Linked DNA regions of Mus musculus. The protein of the gene in region 1 purifies or fractionates together with the protein of each later gene. This does not show direct contact. Links are inferred from orthologs where the notes say so. Each region holds a gene or a part of one and is shown in the gene's direction. Other genes may lie near its edges.

Evidence for each region. The genes of interacting proteins can lie anywhere in the genome.
Region 2: the proteins of Ctbp1 (region 1) and Hdac2 purify together in Homo sapiens (affinity purification with western blotting; 7 studies listed by BioGRID and IntAct, with this or other methods). This does not show direct contact. The link is inferred for Mus musculus from reciprocal best matches to the Homo sapiens genes CTBP1 and HDAC2.

Annotation. Positions count from the first base shown.
Region 1 is NC_000071.6:33,272,418-33,276,168, reverse strand, and holds the start of Ctbp1 (C-terminal-binding protein 1), read left to right. Parts: upstream 1-1,164; 5' UTR 1,165-1,350; coding exon of another isoform or gene 1,351-1,390; intron 1,391-3,751. UniProt on the Homo sapiens protein: Corepressor targeting diverse transcription regulators such as GLIS2 or BCL6. Has dehydrogenase activity. Involved in controlling the equilibrium between tubular and stacked structures in the Golgi complex.
Region 2 is NC_000076.6:36,984,428-36,988,078, forward strand, and holds part of Hdac2 (histone deacetylase 2), read left to right. Parts: intron 1-699; coding exon 700-812; intron 813-1,879; coding exon 1,880-1,997; intron 1,998-3,651. UniProt on the Homo sapiens protein: Histone deacetylase that catalyzes the deacetylation of lysine residues on the N-terminal part of the core histones (H2A, H2B, H3 and H4).

The DNA of each region.
Region 1 (3,751 bases):
TGTGCCTCTTTCAAGTGATGGCCTATTAGGCCATCTTTTGAGCCCTAAGGGTTTTTATACAAGCCCTGATATAATCCCTCACAAGGATGGAGTGATGTGGTGGTCCTAGTCACAATGTGCAAGAAAAAGTGGGAATTTGGGCAGCCTGAGAAGGAATAGGAGGTGTCACTCTGCCATGGAGTTGCTATGTTAGGATGGAACAACTGGGAGGAGCCCTTTGGATGGATCTGTAGGGAGTCACCTGCAGCTCGAGAAAACTGGAACAGACCAGGAGAGACAGTCCAGGATAGGGGTGGGGATTAAGGGAAAGTGTACATCTGCTGGCTTTCCCCCCTAGCCCTCAGTCTATTTAGGAAATACTGTAGCAGGTTTGAGACTCCACCTGTTAGATCTTTTTCTCCATCCATGTCTGCCAATAGATGGAATTGGAAGGTATTTTCAAAGCATTTTTTCTGTAAACAGATGCCCAGGCCCTTGTCATCCCTCATTGATACTGCCCACCTTTCTCAAAGATTTGATTTTCAAAACTCGTAACCATATGGCCTTCAGCATCCTTCAGTTTGGACTGTTCCCGTGATGTTATTATTATTATTATTATTAATTATTATTATTATTTTATTTTATTTTATTTTTTTTTATTTTTATTTTTTTTAACAGCTAAGCGGTATCCCTCGCTACGCCTGTCTGACAGTCCCACCAACAGTCAGTCGCTTACTCTGGGGTGGCCAGCGGGCATCTGTCCCTGCGCACAGATCACTTTCCCTGGCTGGGGCGCTGTCCAGCTCCTGGGTCCTGGGTCCGCGGCCCCAGCTCTAGCGCACAAGGGGCCGAGTGAACCGCTCTCGCTGTCCTCTTGAGGCCCCGGCGACTAGACTGGTAGCGCCCCACGCGGATGGGCTGCTTCACCACTCAGGCTCCGGCCCAGGTCACCGCGCCAAGGAGTGGCAGGGGCGCAGTCCGGGGTACGCGCAGGGGAGGGGAGGCCGGGGGCGGGTACAGCTGGGGGCGTGTCCAGGAAGGGAATCCAGCCTGGGAGGGGCGCTGGGGGTGGGGGCCGAGCGTCGGGCCGGCGGGCAGCTGGGCCCCTGAGCCGCCCGCGTACGTCCAGCGCGCCGCCTTGCCTGCAAACAGCAGACCAACCGAGGCCACGCCCGCGCGCGCGCGCCGCGTGTCCCCGCCCGCTCGTCGGTCGGAGCGCGGCTGGCGGCGCGGTGGCGGCTCGGCACGGCGGTGGCCGGGCGCAGGCGGCCGGGCGGAGTAGCAGACTGCGCCGAAGCCGCCCCAGGCGCAGGGCTCGCGGCGGCGGAGAGCGCCGGACTCATCGGGGCCCGCGGCCACCCGCACCTTTCAATGGGCAGCTCCCACTTGCTCAACAAGGGCCTGCCGCTGGGTAAGGCCGCGCGCGCGCATTTCCGGCTGCGGGCGGGGGGTGGAGGGGCGGGGGCGGGGCGGCCGGGCGCGCGCGGCGCTGGCTTTGTGTGCGAGTGCGCGTGCGCGCTCGCTGCGCGCGCGCCTGGTTGGGGGGGAGAAACCCAGGAGGCCAACGGGTGATGCGCATGCGCGAACTGCTGCACGCGCGTGCGCGTCCCTATTTTCCGATGCCCGCTCGCGACCCGCGCAGGTGACAAAGGGGCCTGTGGTGGTGCGACCCAGACTGTGACCGAGCCGGGCCTGTCTTCCTGGCCCGGGGTCCCGCGAGGATCCTTCTCGTGGACACCCAGCCGGGACCTAGGTGTTCCCGGAGTGACGAGCCTGCGGATTCCGCATGGGCCTCGGGTCGGCAGATCCGGGAGCGGGTAGTCTCTAGAGGTGGCGCTGAGGGAACATGGGTGGCCTACATGCCTATCACCCCTCTGGTCGACTTAGTGATGCTCAGCTTGGCACCTGGATTTGGACCACTTACGTTTTTTTTTATTCATTTATGAAAGTCCTTAAGCCACAGGGGTCCTGCCTGTGGAGGGCAGTCCTTCCTTGGCTGCGTTCCCTGGCCGCGTAGCCTGGCGCACGCGCAGCGAAGACGACCCCACCTTCGGGCGGGGCAGCCGAGAGGTTTCGGATTAGGGAGGAGCCTTTTGCCCACCGTCCAAGTGCCCTACAGTGTCCCTCTCTTTGGCGCTTCCACTTTAATGACCACACGGCTTGACCCCCAGCTCTGTTCTCACAAGGGCACTGCCTTCTTCCTTATAGCCTGAAAGCTGGCAGGGGATGAATCCTCGCAGCGTGTGCTGCCAGCAGGAAATAAGGAACTGTAGGCAGGAGGGAAAAAGGGAGGCGCCCTGTGATGGCCCACTATACCTCTTATCACACAAGGCCATTTTGCAGATCCTGTCAGTTTGTTTCAGGGTGTGGCGGGGTAAGGCCCTCCAGGCCTGCCTTCATCCTGGACTGGTGGTGGGTACTCCTCCCCTACACTGCACCTCTTCAGAGCTGAACTCCCTGGAGGCTCATGTGTATACACACACACACACACACACACACACACACACTTTTGTAGGAAGAGGCTCTGCACCCAAACCAGCAGGGTTATAGTCCAAATTTCCCATGGGGTAGGGAGGGCAGGCCCAGCCCATTGCCTTCCAGAAATCAGCAGGACAGCCTTGCCTGTCAAACCTTTCCTGGCCCAGGGTTATGTCCCTTGTCGTGTTGAGCTTTTGATTGATTAGGACAAATTTGCCTTGTAGGAAGGAAAAGGGAAGGAGTTTAGCTGTCCAGTATTTAGGAAAGTGAACCCAGTGAGCCAGGGTGTCAGCAAGATGATACCTAGCAGTTTTATTCCCCGGGTAGTATGTTCCCTTACTGTGTTTTGCTTTGTCACTTCCAGATTCAGAGCACGTGTCCAATATAAACAGGGATACACAGGATGCTTACCCCAGTGTGATTGGCATGCAGGACATCGGGGCTCCATTATAGAGTTGGACTAACATCTTTGAGACCCCGGGGGAGCATGATCTCTGGAAGAATGATAGCAGGATGTGAATATGGGCTGGGCTCATATGTGTGTTCTCTCTGTTTCATCTGCAACATGGGGTGACAGCTGTGGGATGTGCCAAGTTCAGGGACAGCGTTGTGGTGTAGTGTGGGGTCATACTGTTCTCCGGAACTCTATGAGTTTGCTTGTCTTGTTACTATTTAGGGTGGCAGCTGTGGTTTGAGGCTGCTCTTTCTCTGCATGGCCCTGCTGTATGTGTCAGCCTGGCTTCCACAGATGTCTGAGGGCACTGTGCCATGTTAGTTGTACATAGTGTGGGCTGGGGCCTGTGGAATCCTGGTGGGACCTCAGTGATACACTGTCCTTCTCTGGCTATTCTATCTTCTGTCACCTGTGGACCTGTAGCAGGTTTCAGCTTGTGTTTCGCCCTTTTCCAGATGAGTCTCATGCTCAGAGAGGTCTAGTGTCCCCTTCAGGGTTCTAGGTGGGACAGACTCCTGTCCTTCCAGCAGCTCACTATTTCCTACCTGCCTTTTGTACTTCATTGGTGAGTGCCCACAGGGTAACCTGGCAAGAAACTTGTGTGGACATTGATCCTTAGATCTGGGTACTGCTGAGGACCCCCTGTCCATGAGACCTACTAGCTGTGTGGCCTCCCGGCATGGTATGGAAAGCAGACATGTCCTGAGGTCTGTACTGCATGGCAGCACCTTTACACTAGCTTTCATTCTTCTAGTGTCAGGAAAGGATTTGGCTTGCTTGGTGCTGGGCAGGGGGCCTGCCTTCAAGCCCCGGGATGTAAACTTCTTCACAAGAGAGGCA
Region 2 (3,651 bases), on another chromosome or scaffold:
CAAAGGCAGCAGCAGGAGACTCCTTCACAGGCAGCCAGGAGGAGGGCCTTTTCCATACCAGGTAGAGCCTGAGCATAGGAGGCCTCAAAACCCACCTCCATAGTGACACACTTTCTCTAACAAGGCCCCACCTCCTAATAATGCCACTTCCCATGGGCCAAGCATATTCAAACCACCACAGCATCTAAGATGTTTTAATGCACAGGCTACTACTGTGTAGTCCTGAGAAATGAAGACAAGAGTGTCTTTATTACCCTGAAAAATGCTGTGACTCTCCCACTTGTGGACACTGAACATTTAAGCCCTTCCATAATTCCAGCTCGACTGTAAGGTATTTCTACAGGATTCCAATAAGTTATCCAAGAAGCACTACTAGCTGACAAATTAGATCCTACTCCGTACTTCAAGAATACTTCTTATGTATCTAAATTTACAAAATGAACAACAACAACAACAAAAATCCACTAAAAATGGATTTCACCTTAAGGAACCAAACCAGGGAAATTGGAAAACTAAAAGTCAGAAAAACTTTCTCTCTCCACAAAGAATGTGAATCCTAGGCATGTATAAAATCTGCATAATATATTAGATTTCTAATGTAATTTGAATGTTACAAAAACAACTCTTGTTTAAATATAAATTTTTTGATGTTGGGTACATGTCAGTGGTGGTATTTAATAAGCATCTTTTCTCTTTTAGGTGATATTGGCAATTATTATTATGGCCAGGGTCATCCCATGAAGCCTCATAGAATCCGGATGACTCATAACTTGCTGCTAAATTATGGTTTATACCGAAAAATGGAAATATATGTAAGTACTAGTTGGCACTGTGTTTTTAAACTGGTATTTGAAAGCTCTTCTTAGGCTGCTGTGGGAGATGCATGTGGTAGATGAAAAGATCTGAACGAACACAGACAGGTCTTGTGGTTGTGTCCCTCAGAGAACGCTTAAGGAATTGGAGTAGTCCTCTCTTCCCTCTGATCATTTCAAACACCAAATATTTTTGTGACAATACTGTTAAGTTGCCTGTGCTGCTAGAAACAATTGTCCTGGGGTTGGTGAGATGACTTAATAGGTAGAGGTGCTTGCCACCAACTGGATGGCCTGTTTACCTTCCCCAGAACTCTCACAGTAGAAGGAGAGACCTAATTCCCCCAAATTGTTTTCTAATTCCACGTGGGCATGAGGACACACCTCCAATAATAAGTAACCACAGTGTAATTTTAAAAAGAAATAAAAGAGAATTGACCTGAATTATTGCAAGAGTTTGGTAGAAAATTAATCATAAATATTTATTTGGTTAACATACATATGAAATGTTGCCAATGATAACAAGGTAAGTAAAAAATGGTGTAAGATACACAGCCACCTAAAAAGTCTTCGAAACATGGGCAGGAGCATACATAAAAAGTGCAAGGTAGGATAAGGCTTAACTAACTACTCCAGGAGAAGAGGGCTAGACAGTGTTATAGGAAGCATTTCTTTAAGATACAGGTATTTTAGAGAAATGGGAAGACTTGTGGAAGAAGTCTGTGGTAAGTGAAGCTGAGCTCTTCAGAGCAGAAGTTAGAATAAACGAAGGCTAAGGGAGATCTCAAGCTGGTGTTCTTAGAAACCTTTGATGAAAGTCAGTGGGTAGACAGCAGCGAGGCTATGCTGGGAAAGAGCCTGAACAAACAGGAGTAGCCTCGCTTGGAGAGGGGCTGCCGGCTGCCTGCTGCCTGCCACAAATGTGTGCATTTGAATTAGCATTGTAACTTGCTACTCAGGTGGATCTGGTTCATTTAGAGAGACTGATCGTGGAAACTTACACATATCATTTGATAATTCTCATTTAACAACTGATACTTCCAACATCCTGGTGTTTTTCTTTTCAGAGGCCTCATAAAGCCACTGCTGAAGAAATGACTAAATACCACAGCGATGAGTATATCAAGTTTCTACGATCAATAAGACCAGATAATATGTCTGAGTACAGTAAGCAGATGCAGAGATGTACGTTATAAATAATTATTTTACTAGTGCTGAATGTAAATGAATCTTTTTAAAGTTTCTGATCAGAGTTGCCTCAATAGGTATTTTTCCTCATAATTTAAAATATTAATATAATTATTAATTCAGAAGGTCATTGAACCAATATTAATGTTACTTTAGAAAACAAACCTATTTAAATTTGTTCTTTTACTTTTTATTTTGCACCCATGAAAAGTTTGGGATTGGTAGGGAGATCACAGAGTTACAAGAGAAAAATATATTTCTTTCTTTTTTTTTTTTTTTAATAATTTTTTTGAGACAGGGTCTGACTTTGTAACCAGCTGTCCTGGAGATTGCTAATGCAGATCAGGCTGGCCTCAAACTCCCAGAGTTCCACCTGCTTCTCTCTTGCATTAACAATCCTCCATTTCACCTTCTGTGTACTCCAGTCACATTGTTCTGTAATGTAAAGATGTTGCCTTTTGTTGGCTTCTTTGTGTTTCTTTTTATTCTTCTACATGTTTTTGATTATAGGTGAAAGTGTATTGTTATTGGTAGTCAATTGTATTAACTGGTAGTCAAGTGTATTAAAGAAATATTGCCAAGTATCCTGAAACTGTGGGCTGCTGTCTTTTGAAGCTTAATACCGGAGCCCATTTCCTCAGTGAGAGGTGGATTTAGTTCAGTGATGACGAATGATAAGGATTTCTCAAGTTCACTGAACACCATATTTCCCTACCGTATGTTATCGCATTTGGTTGACTCAAGACTGGAATAGGACGGACGGATGCTATTACATCTATTGTTTTTTGGGTTTTTTATTTGGGATTTACACAGTAATGGGTAGCCAGCCCTTGGGTAAATGACAGGATTTGTTTAAACCATTATAGTGCTTGTTTATATTAAATTCTATTTGAGCATAAAAAACTAAAACTTTTTTTATAGTATCTGTAGGTCTGTAAAACCCCTGCCCTCTTGCTAACGTGTGATCTGAGAAGTGAAGAATGACTAGGGATGGGCCACACACACTTCTGTTGTGTTTTTTCCTCTCAGCACAGGGAGCCAACCATGTCATGACCAAGTGACATGTCATCTGTCTTATGTTCCATGAAACTGATTCATTCATGGCTGCTTCTGAAGTCAGTGTTAGCCACAGAAAAAAAACAAAGTAACTTAATATTTTGATACTCACTAAAACATGTTTCGGAGTCAGGGACACTGTGTGTGAGGGTCAGTAAGATGAGTTAGAAAGGGGTTGCAGCCACTTAATCTTTAACTCACTATCATATTTAAAGAGAAAACTAGATTTGTGCCTATTTTCATATAGGCTTTTGATTTATGTTGTTGGTGATGGTGGTGGTTGGGTAGAGTGACTTCACAAATTTCCTAATAAGATTTGGTAATGGAATTACATAGATAACAATTTAATTATCTTGTAAAATAAGCATTATATTATAAAATTATAACTTTTATAATACTACCTACATTGAAGTACTACTCCCTGTGAATTTTAAAATTCATAGGTAATATTTTAAAATTACAAATTTCACATTGCTACCATGAAATATTATATTATTACCTATGATTGCCTGAAACAAATATTTTTAATAGTTTATAAGAAAAAGCCTTCAATGACTTGATAATAGATTGACTTTAATGAAGTTCACCTTCCACA